Macaca mulatta: one gene and its partners. The protein of the gene in region 2 interacts with the protein of the main gene of each other region in a biochemical or structural test. Links are inferred from orthologs where the notes say so. Each region holds a gene or a part of one and is shown on either strand. Other genes may lie near its edges.

What was found.
Region 1: the proteins of SIAH1 (region 2) and POU2AF1 form a complex in vitro, tested with the Homo sapiens proteins (2 studies listed by BioGRID). The link is inferred for Macaca mulatta from reciprocal best matches to the Homo sapiens genes SIAH1 and POU2AF1.
Region 3: the proteins of SIAH1 (region 2) and SNCAIP form a complex in vitro, tested with the Homo sapiens proteins (2 studies listed by BioGRID, with this or other methods). The link is inferred for Macaca mulatta from reciprocal best matches to the Homo sapiens genes SIAH1 and SNCAIP.
Region 4: of the proteins of SIAH1 (region 2) and HIPK2, one has a biochemical effect on the other in vitro, tested with the Homo sapiens proteins (4 studies listed by BioGRID, with this or other methods). The link is inferred for Macaca mulatta from reciprocal best matches to the Homo sapiens genes SIAH1 and HIPK2.

What each region holds. Positions count from the first base shown.
Region 1 is NC_133419.1:112,099,103-112,102,970, forward strand, and holds part of POU2AF1 (POU domain class 2-associating factor 1), read right to left. Parts: intron 3,821-3,868; coding exon 3,690-3,820; intron 2,676-3,689; coding exon 2,633-2,675; intron 2,549-2,632; coding exon 2,283-2,548; intron 1-2,282. UniProt on the Homo sapiens protein: Transcriptional coactivator that specifically associates with either POU2F1/OCT1 or POU2F2/OCT2. It boosts the POU2F1/OCT1 mediated promoter activity and to a lesser extent, that of POU2F2/OCT2. It recognizes the POU domains of POU2F1/OCT1 and POU2F2/OCT2.
Region 2 is NC_133425.1:43,773,184-43,776,191, forward strand, and holds the end of SIAH1 (E3 ubiquitin-protein ligase SIAH1), read right to left. Parts: intron 2,761-3,008; coding exon 1,910-2,760; coding exon of another isoform or gene 1,807-1,909; 3' UTR 851-1,806; downstream 1-850. Other genes in the region: LONP2 (lon protease homolog 2, peroxisomal), read left to right, coding at 1,807-1,926. UniProt on the Homo sapiens protein: E3 ubiquitin-protein ligase that mediates ubiquitination and subsequent proteasomal degradation of target proteins.
Region 3 is NC_133411.1:131,301,228-131,305,827, reverse strand, and holds the start of SNCAIP (synphilin-1), read right to left. Parts: upstream 3,027-4,600; 5' UTR 2,759-3,026; intron 2,741-2,758; exon of another isoform or gene 2,592-2,740; intron 2,507-2,591; exon of another isoform or gene 2,105-2,506; intron 1-2,104. UniProt on the Homo sapiens protein: Isoform 2 inhibits the ubiquitin ligase activity of SIAH1 and inhibits proteasomal degradation of target proteins. Isoform 2 inhibits autoubiquitination and proteasomal degradation of SIAH1, and thereby increases cellular levels of SIAH.
Region 4 is NC_133408.1:179,551,830-179,555,697, forward strand, and holds part of HIPK2 (homeodomain-interacting protein kinase 2), read right to left. Parts: intron 1,722-3,868; coding exon 638-1,721; intron 1-637.

The DNA of each region.
Region 1 (3,868 bases), on a different chromosome or scaffold from region 2:
AGCATGGGGAAGCCTGGCCATCCCTAGCTGGGGGAAGCACTCACTGCTTTGTCAGCAAACTTGGCCTTGCTTCCTGCTGCTGCCTGGTGCCTTCCACATCCTCCTCCTCCTCTGTCTCTGAGCTGATCTCCATCGTTGTCCCACTTACGGGCACCCACCATGACCCTCCAAGGGTTAGAGTCCTTCTCCTGCCTGCTCTACGAGTCATACCTCTCACCTGCACGGGCGACTTCCCTCACAAACCTCAGGTCAGGCCTGCAACAGAGGCGGGGCCTGGATTCTTAACTTCCCTTTCACACTTGAGGAAAGCAGATAGAAGAGGATGCTCTTTGCATGGATTCATGAGAGAGATGCCAAAATCTCTCCCTACCATCCCCGTCTCTCCTGTCACATATTGCTCCTATTGTCAGTGTGTCTTGACAGCAAACTGTTAGAATCATTTAGGGCAAGGCTTTTCTTAACCTCCTGCAGATCTTGTTACAATACAGCTTCTGGCACAAGAAGTCTGGGATTTTGCACATCTAATCAGATCTCAGGGGACTCCAATGTGGCCAGTCCAGGGACCAGAGTTTGAGTAGCAAGATTTTAGGGTGTTTTTGCATAGAATGATAGAGCTGGAAATGGTCTCAGAGGCCTTCCAGCCTTCCAAAATCCGGACTGAGGTGTAAGCCAGTGGTCCCTATCCCAGTGTCCTGAAACCAGACAGAATCCGGGAAAGCCTCATTATTCCCAGCTTTCAAAAATCCAGATGGAAATTCTACATTTCCCAGTCATACACCTGTACAAATCTATTGCAACTATAGGTTTATTTGCTGGGGAATAGAATTACATCCACTCAGCACCACAGCAGGTCTTATCTCTGCTGATCAGGAGTGTGGACTTATAGCTCTAGACAGCTTTGATGAGTTAATTCACAAAATGGCAAAACAAATAAATTAATTCTTAATAAATACCGTTTGTTTGATATACAGAACTTTTCAAAGCAAAACGTGGGAATGATGAAAAGGGATAAACAATGAAAGGAATCCTTGGTAATGAAATGGCTGGAAACCATGAGTCCTCCACCCACCACCCTCTCCCCAGGCTCCCTGACATGGAAATGAGGTGCCTGGGAGAGGGAGTTGGATTAACTCCTTCTTATCTATCATCATCCAGCCTCCAAAATTGGTTTGCTGGGTAGCAGGTGGACCTGGGATGGAAGGGCTCCTGCAGGCCTTTCATAGAAGGTGCTTGGAGGCAGGGGCAGGTGCATCAGGATGACACTGGACCCTGGAGGGAAATGGAGGAGACAAGGTGGACCAAAGCAAGCTCCACCATCGAAGGTGGGCTCTGGGACTGCTGAAGGCCAAGCTCTACTTCTCACGGTTTCCCTGGACTGGAGCTGAATACAGCTGTAACCACAGGTCTTTTTGCCCTTGAACACTTGCAAAATTCCCATTCCTTTAGTCAAATAGGCACCATTAATATAAATCTATTTCCTCTCCTTCCTTCACTCCCGGGGGAAGAGGCTCTTCCTTTCCCATCAGGCCCTTAGTTAATGTTAGCAGATTTTGATATGATGATAATAACTAATACATATTAGTGATTTCTGTATGCCAGACACTGCTAAGCCCTCCACATGTATTATTTCATTTGATCCTGACAATGACCCTTTTCTTGGTATTCCCATTTTACAGATGAAGACACTGAGGTTCAGAGAGTTTTAAGTCACTAAACCCAGAGTCACATAGCTAATAAGTGAAGGGGCAGGGATTTGAACACAGGCAATCTGACAATAGAGACAGAACTTTAAAAAATCACCCCACAAGTGGGTCTGACGCCATCAAAAATATCACCTGTTGTTCAGCCTAGAAATCTTCTGTTAAGTCCCATTATTAAGTGAACGATCACTCCCTAAGTTATCTGAATAGAAAGGAAAGCCTGGTTCCAACACAAGACCCCATGTAGATCTCACATGGTACCCCATTCACTAAAAACTTCAACTCAACACCAAGACTCACTGCTTGCAGGGAAGCTGGGGAGATTTAGAACAGGGAATCAGAGAAGACCTCCCCAGTCCTGAGGAGCAGAAAGGATGACAAGAGAGGCTGTGAGACATCTTTGTGAAAGATATTTCAGCAAATGAGAATCAGAGCAGGCCTCCGTGGAGGACAAGGCAAGCTTTGATGACCTGATTATCCTGAGAATCAATAGCAAGGAAGATCAGGGTTGGCAACTCAGCGCTGGTTCTAAAAGGGTGCACTCAGCATGGGCGGGTGCAGCTCTGCCTTTGTGTGACGTACCGTGACATTGGTGATGAGTGGCGGAGAGGCATAGGTCAACACTGAGGAGGGCCCCACCACCGTGTAGCTGGGGCACACGGGCTGCACATACATGTCAGCTGAGTAGGGACAGCTGACGGCTTCATGGGGCACATACTCGGTGTAAGGTGTCCATGGGGCCAGGGGCTGGAGGGTGGCCGGAGTGGGCTGGGAGAGCCAGCCGGCACACAGAGCACCCTCCTCCGTCACTGCAGATACAGAGCCTTCCATGTCCAGGCAGGAAGGACCTGTGGGAAGAAGGACATTTCAGAACTGCAGATGCCACCCAGATGAGAGGCCTGGGGGCCACCAGGGCTACGGGGCACTCTTACCCACTGTGGTGTAGGTCGCCAGGGGCTGATGGGGCAGCACCACCTAGAGGGGAGAGGAGACCAGGGTCAGTGTTTAGCCATTGCCAACTGGCCCTGTGCAGGGAACTTGTCCAGAGGGCCTCGGGGCAGGAGAGTAGAAGATAGGAAACTCTCTGGTTAGAACAAAACACCCCACCCGGTATCCCAACCATCACCACCTACACTTGAGGGATTTGTGTTTCCATTTAGCAGGAAGTCTGTGTGCTCAGGGAGCTGGTGTCTTCCTCTTCTCAGGGTGAGCCCCCAACTCACACCAGGGTATATGAGTCATTCGCTCACTCAGGCCTTGACAGTAGCTGTGTTCAGTGGGCCAACTGAGCCAGTCCCAATCCCTCATCCCGGTTGCTCCACCCTGGCTCTATGCCTGGCAGCCTCCACCATGCGACCTGCACTCCTTCCTGCCTGATCCCCTTGGTCACCTCCCAACCCGTCTGCCTGCACACACACGCACACACTCTCACACACACACACACAAACACCACTCTCACATGCACACACTCTTACACTCTCTCTCACACACACTCACACACACTCTCACACACACTCTCACACACACTGTCACACACATTCACACATACACTCTCTCACACATACTCTCCTACACTCTCACACACTCCCTCATACACACATACTCTCTCACACACGCTGACACGCACACACACACACATTCTCTCTCACACTCACACACACTACTCTGTCACACTCACACACACTCTCACACACGCTCACACATACGCTCTCTCACACATACTCTCCTACACACTCTCTCACACACTCCCTCATACACACATACACTCTCACACACTCTGACACACACACACACATTCTCTCTCACACTCACACACACTACTCTGTCACACTCATACACACACACTCTCACACACTGTCACACATACGCACTCACACACTCTCTCACACACCCACACACTCCCTCACACACACATACACTCTCACACTATCTCTAACACACACATTCTGTCTCACACACACACCCTGTCACACACACACACACTCTCACCGCCGTAGGTGCAGGCGCTGCCCCGCTGCTGGCGTGGCCTCGCTTCCTCCTCAGCAGTTCCTTCACTGGCTCCTTCACGCGGACGCCCTGGTATGGCCGGGCCGGGGCGGGGGCTTGCTCCGGAGCTGTGGCTGTGAAAAGCAATGTCCCTGGAGCCCATGGTCCTTCTCAGATGAGCC
Region 2 (3,008 bases):
CCGTCTCAAAAAAAAAAAGAACAAAGGCTCCACAAGCACATTATAACCAGTTCAAAAGATAATATTGACATAAGGATGAGACTACACAATCATCTTTTCTGAAAATGGATAACAGAAATAAACTCTTATCCAAAATTATCCAGAATCAGTGGTGGGATAAGGGTGAAGTCCAAATTTTCATTAACTTTCTAGGCTTACAGTACCAATACAAACCACACAAAATTATCTTTCACTATTCAGAAGGCAATTTCAGAATCTTGCCATGTGCCTCAAAGTAATTAGCAACAGTTAACTACATGGTACTAAAGGCATAATGGTAGCTAACATTCACTGGATGCTGATATGAACAAAGCACTGTTTCAGGTAACATACCTGTACCCCATTAAAACTTTTTAAGTAGCTACCATAATTTAACCCCACTTTACACATTAGGAAACTGGGGCCCAAGGTCACACAGCTGGTTAGTGGGGTAGAGCCGAGACTGGCACTTAGGTGCCTGAAGTCTGGCTGCAGAACCAAGGCTCTTAACCACTAGGCTATGAAATAGTAAATTTATTATTTCATTGTGCTTTTTTAAAGAGGTGAAAAGTGGTCAGCATTTTAGTCATTCTCCTGACAGTTGTAAGAATCAAAATGTGGGCAAGAGGGGCAGAGCATGGGAAAGACTGTAATCCAGAAGCCATATACCCAGTTATTTGCTGTGATTTAGAGTATAACTCTACCACACTTAAAAATGACAACACACAGCTTTCTGCTATATAATTAAAGTACGGAATGAAACAGGAAAATAACTTTGGATTTTATCAAACTTAGAGCTAAAGCAGACACAGTAAGATTTTTTTAATTTGCCAGAAATTCTTTTAATGAGAATTATAAAAGACCAAAAACATTTTTTTGCAAACTGCCTTTTTAAACAAATGATTTGCTTTTAATTACAAATACTGTGCATGACGATGCCTTCTTTTGCAAAACCAATAAATACAAGAACAAATTTTAAACATGTGATTTATCCAAGATATTTGAAAAAGGAAACAAAAGCCTGATTTGCAGTACTTATAAAAATCAATTTATTCTCTAACCTTTCAAAGATTAAGCTCAAAGGTGTGACTCATCCGTAGAAGAGAGAAAGAGAGAGACCATCTTACAGATGCTTTAAATAGCTTTTGATCATTTTTCCGATGTCACCTTTACTTTCTGGAACTCATAGCTTCACAAAGTAGCTGATTTTAAAATATTTCTAATGAACTGATTAATGGGGGAAAAGAAAATATTGAACACATGTTACAAACTTTTACCATAACAAGTATGCATATCAAAAGACACTAACTTTAAAATGGTACAAAAAAAGTGAAGAAAAACCTGAATTACAGAAAGGAAAGTCAAATTTATTTAATGAAAAACTAAAATTAATAAAAATTAGCAAATACACACACAAAAAAGCACACAGCAGCACTATGTATTGACTCACAAAGGGGAAAAGCAGTGGCCCATGACCACTCAAGATGGCTTGTCAGTTAAAGGAGAAAAACCCAAACACGCACACACCCACGCACGCACACACTCCCACGCAAAAACAAAACAAAAAAACTATTTTTCAACAATACAATCAATCTACAACAAACACAAAACTCAGAATTATTTTACAATGCTTCCTTTCTTAATACAAAAGATGCCCATCTTGGGTGTATATACATATATTTTTTCAGTGGTTTACTGTTGACTTATTTTTAAATATATTAGTGTTACTACATGCAACTGTTTCCTGTATTTAACAGCCTTTCCTTTCATTTACCTTCATGTGTCTAGCTTCCACCTACCAAAAGAATTTTAGGTTGGCAGGCAGATGGGTGCCTTATTTTCTGTGAAACTGAAGTTTTAAACACTGGCCAGAAAATGTTTGATTGCCATTTCAACACATGGAAATAGTTACATTGATGCCTAAATTGCCATTTTCTGCAAAAAGCTGTGCAATGCTGGTGTCAAAGACTAGGCAGTCGCTATTCATAATGGCTGTTGCAATTCCTTCATGAATAGATCGAGGAGTCGCTTCCCAAGTCAATCGTCGCCTGTGACCATTTAGCTCAAGTCGGTAAGCAAAATTTTCAGCTTGCTTGCGTGTTCCTATCAGCTGTACAATTGCAAAGAACTGCTGGTGACCATCGTATTTTTCCTGTTTCTCCAAGACTAACATGAAGTGAAAGCCAAAACAGGACTGCATCATCACCCAGTCAACAGCACCAGGAAGATTAATGTCTGTAGCAAGGAAAACTATATCCTCTCCCTGTAGGGTTGTAATGGACTTATGCTGATGCATCAGATGGGGCATTACAGCATCCAAAGAGCCTTGCCATTTACAGGAAGCACCAGGGCACGGACAGGAATAAGGCCTAAACTCACAGAGCTCTTCGTGGTCTGCTTTTTCTGTGTGTGGCAGAGTTATTTCACATCCAGAAGAGGCATATTTACAGGGGAAAAGTACTGAATTAGCCACTTTCTCCATAGCCAAGTTGCGAATGGATCCCAAAGGGCCCCGGCAAGTTGGACAACATGTGAGCTTTGGGCGACAGTTGCTACAAACAAGATGGCCACTCTGACATTGAAGAATGGGTGGTAACACATAGTCAAAGCAGACTGGACACTCAAAAAGACTCGCCAAGTCATTGTTGGATGCAGTTGTGCCAGTCAGGGCAGGTACCCTCTGGGATGGTGGACACTTCGAGGTACCAGTAGGTAATGCTGTAGCAGTCTGACGGCTCATTTCTGAAATAAATACATAAGGAGGCAGGAGAAAAATAATTATAACCATGACTTATTTTACAAATAATGTTTACATGCCAGAAGTACTTTTAAAGTTTCATGCAAAATTTACTGAGCAAAAGAGAAAGAAAAATAAATAGAATTTAAAAAGTAACATACTAAAAAATAAAATTACACTGAATGTGCACTTTATTAGGATCTGTACACTGGATAAGCTCTCTTTTCAAAATATTCCGGAAAACATTTGGAAC
Region 3 (4,600 bases), on a different chromosome or scaffold from region 2:
GCATTTAAAAGAAAAATTCCCTTGTGTTTCCTATAATGATGCACCTGCTTCTTGGGAGATTTCCTCTTTTGACAAGACATGCCTTACATCTGGCAAGAAAAACAGCTCCAGGCTTTTTCTGATAATATCAAGGATCATTTGTTTGTATTAGATGTTTGTGTGGGTTTCCCTTAAGAGCAGTAAAGTACTGCTACAATTTCTTCCAAAACAATAGCACACACAGTTTCTTGGCTTGCATTTCCACTGTACACCTGCACCAGAACAACTGTCTGGAATTAGCAAAGTTGTGACAAAGTAGACAGAGAAATGCATTTGCTTTAGTCACTTCCTTTTGGATATCAACAAATGGTAACAGTCAAATTCATGAATGCAGCATCATTTCAAATCTACTATCTGTAACCTTTCTTCATGAAACGCTTGCTATGGAGAAAATGAAATTTATACTCAAAATTATACCCCTTCTTTTCAAAATCCCATTCTGTATTTTATTCTAACTGAGATGTCCAAAAGATTCTTAAGAGAAGCACTATCTTCTACTTTCTGATTCCAGACCTGTTAATGCATACATATTTAGTTATGGGTAATCCTCAGTTAATACTCCCTTTCTAGAGAGACTTCCGCGATCAGTACCAAAATACAGCACCTTTCAAATAGTCTTGAGGACTCCTTAAAGGTGTCTCCTTGTACTCTAACCATGCTGAATGTAATTTAACATTGAGATGCATTAGAAACAGCCAACAGACTTTCTCTCCCAGATGTGTACACATTAGCATACTGCTTTCCTACACCTTGTTCTTTGCTTTTTAAATTTTCAATATGTACAAATGAAATACAGATTTCAACCCATTCCCAATTGAGATGTCTGCTCCATAAAAGAAAACTAGGTTTTTCCCTTCCTGCAGATTCAGCAACGAAAGTAGTGCTTGAAAATTACGTGTTTAGAGTGACACCTTGGAGAACTGACATACTTTGCACACATGTAATCCTCATAAACCTCCCCAGACAGCCCTTATTTCATTTTGCAAACTGCACCCTGGCCAGGCTCCACGGCACGTGGTGTGTGGCGAGACTGTCCTGCAGCAGTTCTCTCTTCCTCTGGGCTCTTTGATGGGCACTTGTCAGTAACAGCCAAGAGGAATCGGACCCTGCCTCCAGCAAGTGAAAAAGGGGCACCGACAGTAATGCTTCCTTAATTAACTTTCCCAAGGAAAGCAACGTTACCACAGGAAAAAACAACACGTTTCCCCCCTCCTAGAGGTCCATTGAAAATGAGCAACAATGCTGTTGCCTTTTTGTTTCCTAAGACTTTCTTCGCTGCAAGCAGTAGCGTGTTCCTCAAAGAATGCTAGTATTTCCTGTGGAAACTGTATGGCTGCCAGTAATGGCTCATAATTTTCCCTCTTTTCTTTTCGTAAAAATGAAATAAACAAAATGTGGCCTTTGACAATAGCCAAAATTGGGTTCACCCCACTTACCACCTGCAGATGAAAGTCATCGCCAAGAGAGAAGGCCAAGAGAGAAACAGTCCCCGCTGAAATTGACGCGGACCAGCCTGGGACGCAGGACAGCATTAGAGGGAGGCTGACAGAGCCCGGGCTGGACAGGGCAGTCGGGGAGCCCGTGCTGATGAGCGAGGGGCGGCAGCAACACCAGACGTCCCTCTTCTACAGCTATTGCTACCGTTGTTAGTACCGTCGCTATTACTATTACTTCGCCCCTCCTTACCTCAGCTCTTCCGAGCCGCGGCACTGCCCATCCCTGCCTGCGATACGATCCCGGGTGGCAGCAAGAATAAGAACCACATGAGGCAGGCAAATGAAAAGAACAATCCTTTGGAAACCGAGGCGGGGGTTGTTTCCCCCTTTCCCCAGTAAAACAGCCGCTGCCGCCACCACTGTTACTATAGAGACCTCCCCCCAAACCCTTTCTGCAGAGACGCCTCTGCTGTCCCAAGCAGCCGAGACTCGCGGCACAAAGGGGGCCCCGGGCTTGGGGAGCACGGGGCGACACCCGCCAGGGTCGCCTGGTGCAAACTTGGAAAGGCTGAGCCGCCAGCTCCTCGCCCCCCGCCTCCCCGCGGGGTCCGTTTGGGACCTGGACTCACCCGGGGCGCCACGCGCGCCGGCGGCTCAGGAGCGCGAAGGGACTGACGGACCGACGGACGGACTGCGGCGGCGGGAGCAGAACAGCCTCGGCGGGAGCAGGCGAGCGGCGGAGGCGCTGCCGCGGCCCCGCTACGTCACAATGCGGCCCGGCCGCGGGCGCAGCTCCCTGGGCCCCCCAACGGGCGCGCGCGGGCGGGGGCAGCCTGGGCGGCCGCCGGCCGGAACCGGCGCTGGGGTACGCGGAACGCAGCGCGGGCGCCCGGCCGGGGACGGGGGCGCGGCCACCACTGCCACTGCCGAGGCTGCTGGGGCTGCCGCGCCCTCAGGCTGCGCTGCGCCCCTGCGGCCGCCCCCCGGCCAGCGAGCCCAGCTCAGCCTGACTGACAGTGACCCTCCCCGCTGGGCCCCCGGCCCGGCCCACGCCCCTCCCTCGCCGCTTCCTCGCCCGGGATCCCCCGGCCTGCCCGCCGGCTCCTGTTCACGAACCTGCTCTTTCTTTACCTTTCGCTCTTTTTACCTCGACTGCCGTTGCTTTTCCCCAACTGGGGCTCTCCTCTCCTCCCCGCCTACTTTTTGTCCCCGCTTCCCACTTTTCTCCTCCTGCCCCCCCTTCCTTGCTTCGCGGCCTCTCCCCCTGGAAATCGCCCCCTCACCGTGATCCAAGCGTCAACCGCTGCCATCTCATTGGTCCCCAGACCATTCCAGGGTTCCAGCATAAACCGGGAGAAGAGACTCAGGAAGGCGGGGAACGGAAGGTGGGCATGGCCCTGGGAAACTCGTGTCTGAGAAGCCTTTTGGCAGAGTATTTTGCGTTGGCACGGAGTCGTCACCCCCACCCCTCTCCCCGAAGCTCGCCCACCCCTGAGGACGTGGCCAAGGAGAGGAGGGCACGGGTGGCTTTGCCTGCCTGGAATGTTCTGTGCTCAAGTGTGGGTGGATGGAGAAGATCTTGGGCTGAAATAAAGACTTTTTAATTCAACGACGTTTCAATGTACCAATGGCCCTACAGTAATATTAACTTTACTTTTATTGTATCTTAATTGTTGAGGGATTGGGGGTGGGAGGCTGCTGGATGAGGAGTCAGCAACGCCTGCAGTGGTGACTACTTCTTTCCTTATTTCCGAAATGAAATCAGGGGTTGTGGAAGCATTTATGGTAACCTTGGCTCACGACTGTCTTGCTGTTGCCCTCTGGAAAGCTTTAAATGATCTTTGAGAAATCTCTTTCCCAGGCGAGATGACTCGGAGAAGTTCACTCAGCAAAGCCATTGAGGACCACACTCTTGTTCCAGGGTATGACTGCTTGCCTGATGCTGCCCCAGAGAAAAGCGTGAGGAAGTAAGTCTTGGTCAGTTTAGAGGCATCTTCATTCCCTTGCCAGTTCCAGAGGACAAGAGCAGTGCCAAGATCCTGGGACACCCGGCACTATCTGGGTAGTAGCAATGGGGATGTGTGATCTTGTTACAACAAAAAAGGAAGGCTCTGGTTGTTTAAAGCTGGGGTTTCCTGAATAACTAGCCTAAGACTGCCTTCAGTCTTTGTGGAGTCCACAGGCTGCGCTGTACTAGGAGGGCATAGGCAGAGTAATGCTTGCCCTGGACCTGTTTGGACCAGGACCATCGTCACTGAAATGAGGACTACCTTGAATGCCAGCGGAAGACATTTCACATGTGTCTAATTCCATTTCCTACTGAAACCTAAATGTCTTTCTTGGCTGTTGACATAAACAGCCAAGATCATGTCCTGTGCTGTTGTAATTTGTTTATTGTAATTTATCGTGTGTAAGACTTAAGTACATACATGGAAAGTGGCTTCACAATTTTAAAAATACACATTATCCCCCAGTAGAAAATATAAAATTGGATGACATCATGTGGCACTAAAAATACTTGAAAATATTGGGTTTGATTTGTTCACATCTGGTTAAAATAAAACTGCCTCTTTTTTTTTTTTTTTCCTAGTGTAAATTTTGAGAAAAGCACATCTTGCTTTCATCCAGTAGATATGGATGGGATTGGTGTCACCCTTGACATGATCTACAGAGAACATACTTTATTTCCATTCTCTTAAATATTTTGACACCCTGTTTTTGAAAATCATTTTAATTTATTGAAGGATTCATTTACTGAAGAATTATAAATGGTCATCTCCTTCCAACTGTCCTAAATATTCATTAGCTCTGGTCGAGCCAGGTGTTAATTCAGTGTAAATGATTCAACAAGAAGGGGCCTGATACTGCTGTATGTACAGAAAGTGGGTTGTCCTGGGAAATAAATAAAGTGTTTTTTGTTGTTGTTGTTGTTGTTTTTTTTTTTTTTTTTTTTTTTTTTTTTTTTTGCATAGCCAAGGGAATAGCATGCCACAGTGTAAAAGAGCAATCTTTTGAGTTGTTGTTTCGGATATTTTCCTCTATTTTTTATAGTTCTTTTGTTATTTTTTTTGGTTTCTAACATGTTTTTGATTACATATTTAGCATTGTTTCCATGTGATTGTTTT
Region 4 (3,868 bases), on a different chromosome or scaffold from region 2:
GTCACCTCACCACCGGAGCCAGCCAGCTGGCCCCAGACTAGTCTCTCCCCTCCTCCAGCCCTTCTGCACATGGATAGACAAGGAACCTTCTCAGAACATCCTTTTCACCCCATTACCTTATGTTGTTCAAGGTTTCCAGGACTTGCTCTGGGTTTGAGGACACAGTTGAAATTCCTTGATCTGACATTTAAGACCCCCAGTGACCTGGTTCCAACCCGTCCTTTCACTTACATCTCCCACCACTCACAAACTGTTCTGGCCAGGCGGGTGTCCTTCTTGTCTCCTGTAAATTCCTACTAGTGTGACTGTGGACTGTGGATGGCACGTCCCTCTCTCTCCACCACCTGCCTGGATCCTACCCATCTGGGAGGACGGAACTCCTCTGCTTCGCCTCTGCTCTGCACCCCAGGTCCCAGGGAGCCCTTCCAAAACTGAATGCCTATGCCACGGATCTTACCTGGCTCCGTTCTAATGTGACTTCTAATTGACATCGCAATGTGCACATGTCCTAATTTCCTAAGTACATTAAGATCACTTGAAGGTAAGAACTGTAGACATATAATTTTATCTCACCACAGTGACTAAGGCTGCACATTTTCTGTGAGTGCCACTCCTGTCTCCGTGTGGACAGTCTTACCTGTAATATCTAGACTGCAAGTAGGTGGAGCACACAGCCTTGGACACGTGGCTGGCTGAACCAAAGTCGATGACCTTGACTCTGTATGGTTGTCTAGATGGATCCACCAGCATGATGTTTTCTGGTTTGAGGTCAGCATGGATAAGACCTAGGCTTTTGAGTTTCATCAGGGCTGTGGCTACCTGCTGGAGAACTGGGCGAATGTATTTGAGGGGCAAGGGGCTAAACTTGTTTTGCTTCAGAAAGTCATAGAGGTTCTGCTCCAACATCTCGAAGACCAAGCACGTGTGGTTCTTGTGCTGAAAGCATTCGTAGGCCCGGACGAAGTTATAGTCATCGGCACTCTCCGTGCTCAACCGGGCCAGGATGCTCACTTCAATCTGACCTTGTCGGGCATAGGACGGGTGGTTCTTCAGGATCTTGATGGCTACAATCTCATTGGTGCCCCGTTTCCAGCACTTGACCACTTGCCCAAATGTCCCTCGGCCCAAGAACTCTAAGACCTCGTAAGTGTTGGTCATGGAGCACAGCACCTCATGCTGCACCAGCTGATAGTCGCCCTCGCTGTTGGAGCCACTGTTTTTGGAGGTGGCAGTCGACGTGGTGGCAGTGGCGACAGTGGCCCCGCTGGCATTATTCTGAATCATGGGTGGGTGCTCCTCGATGATCTGCACGCTGCTTGTGTTCTCGATCTCCTCACTCTTACGCTTGAGGCCACATTTTTGGTAGGTATCAAGGAGGCTCACAGTGCTTCGACGCATTAGGTTGTGTGGTCCGCCGAGGACTTGCCCGGTGACAGAAGTGCTGCTTGCTGAGGTGACCACGATGTGCCCGGTGCTTCCTGGGAAGATGATGGTCTGCTCGTAAGGTAGGCTTGGGTTTGGGACCGGCAAGGAGGTGCTGACGGTTGTGGTGGCTGGCTGCGACGGGGGAATGTTCTTGCTCTGGCTATACACTTTGCTGTGGGAGCCGTACCCAGTCATGTCCCAGTTGGAACTCGGCTCTATTTTCAGTTTCTTCACACTACAGAAGGCACTTGATTGAAGGGTGTGAGGGGAGAAAACTTGCACATGTGAGGCCATACCTACAAGGAAAGGAAAACGAAAAGTAAGTATCGGATTCAGCTTGGTATAAGTAAACTCAACAGATCCCCTTCAGTTCTCATCTTGGTTTGGGCCACACAGAATGTTTCCTTCCCACTTGAAAACAAGGTTGAAAAAGTCAATCTATTCCACCCAGAAGCACGTTCTGGTCACTGAGTTTATGGAACCAAGTGGTTCCAGGGTGCCACCTGCCACCATTAGGTGCCAGCAACACAGTTGAGACTCAGAAACAGAATTCCAATATCAGGACATAAGTCATCATTTTTTAAAATAAACATTATTTGTGACAGAAATGGATTCTTCTTCAGTTCTCCCTGGGTTGCTTCCTACTGAAACTCAGGAGGCTATGCTAACTGTCACATACTTTGTTGCCCACATAATCAGCTCAGCCTTGTGGACAGACCCTGTCAGGTTCACTGGTTTGAGGAAACATCTTCCCAAACAGGCCCCAACACCAGGCCACTCAGGATCTTCTGGATCCTGGATGAACCCTAATTCTAATTACCACCTGGCATCTTTGTCACCGTAAATGAATTCGGTAGGGTTGAGTGGATCAGCAGTTGGTCTGATATTTTTCATTTCAACAGCGTAAAACATTTTATTAGCCTTACTGGTGGGGACTGGGTAGCACAATTTGTGGCACAGTTCACTCACTTTTCCTGCTAAATTCATATATCAATACATTTCTCTAGAAAGTACTATTTTTTGTTGTTGTTGATGTTGTTGTTTTTTGAGACTGAGTCTCGCTCTTGTCATCTAGGCTGCAGTGCAAGGGCACGATCTCGGCTCACTGCCACCTCCGCCTCCCAGGTTTCAAGTCATTCTCCTGCCTCAGACTCCCAAGGCTGGGATTATAGGCTCGTGCCACCACACCCGACCAATTTTTGAATTTTTAGTAGGGATGGGGTTTCACCATGTTGGCCAGGCTGGTCTCAAACTCCTGACCTCAGGTGATCCACCTGCCTCAGCCTCCCAAAGTGCTGGGATTACAGACGTGAGCCATCATGTCTGACCAAAAGTACTATTATTTCATACCAACATCTCATCCACAATTTAGATAAACTTAGAAACCTATAAGACCATTATTCTGGAACACTTGTATAAATTATGGTGACACTGAAACAAAAATTCATAGAAAATGTATTAAGCAAAAATAATAAGGTAATGAAGAAGGATAACTCCTTAAAAGTTAAAAGAGTAACAAACATTGCCCATCTTCTAAGCCACAGTCAACAAACATTTCTCACAGAAGCCACAAGGAAGTGGAGCGTCTGCAAGCCCTGCTGGTGGTTGGCTAACCTAGTGTTCCTGTCTCTCTGAGCCCCTGGCATTACCTAGAGTGGTTATTTAACATGCTTTCCACTCCATCGACCATCACCCTAGCCCGCATTCTCTCTCAGTAATGACCCAACTTCCACTTTGTCCAGAAGCCTGAGGTCAGCCTTACTTTCCTCCTTTATTTCCTTCTTCATTTCAGAACATTCCTGAATCTGCATCATCCTCCTTCATTCCTTCTCTCCAGTCTGAGAGAAAGAGGTGTTGCTTTTTTCCAATACTAAAAAAGTTCCCGATTCTCATGATCCGTATTTGTCCCATTTTCTCTTGAACTTGCTTCCACCACTGTTCTTTCTCTCGTAGCTTTCTACTTCTCCCTGCACTTAATTGGATCCAAGTACTCAGTAGGAACTTAATATGGCTGGCCAAATGAATCAATCACCTCATCTTTTTCTTCTGCCTTCATGCGTGTGCACACACAAAAGCCCAATGTGGAAGGCAAAAGGAGTAACAGCCGCATTCCCCCCTCTTAATTCTTTCCCTCCTCTCACCTGTGATCAATGGTTTATGCTCCCTTTTCTTCAATGCCCACATCTTAATCCATCTCCCCCCCACTCGTTAATGCACTATAGGCTCGTGTTCTTGAAGGTAAATGACTTCCTAATTGCCTAATCCAATGGCCTTGTTTCAGCCCATTCTTCTTAACCTCTGCAACATCTGATACTGCTGACCACAACTTCCTTCTTGATGCTGTTATCTGGACTTCAGTGAATCTGTAACCTCCCCCTCCCGTGTCTGATTGCACATTGTGTGCTCAGGTGGTTCCTCTTTCTCCATTACTATTATTTTTTTG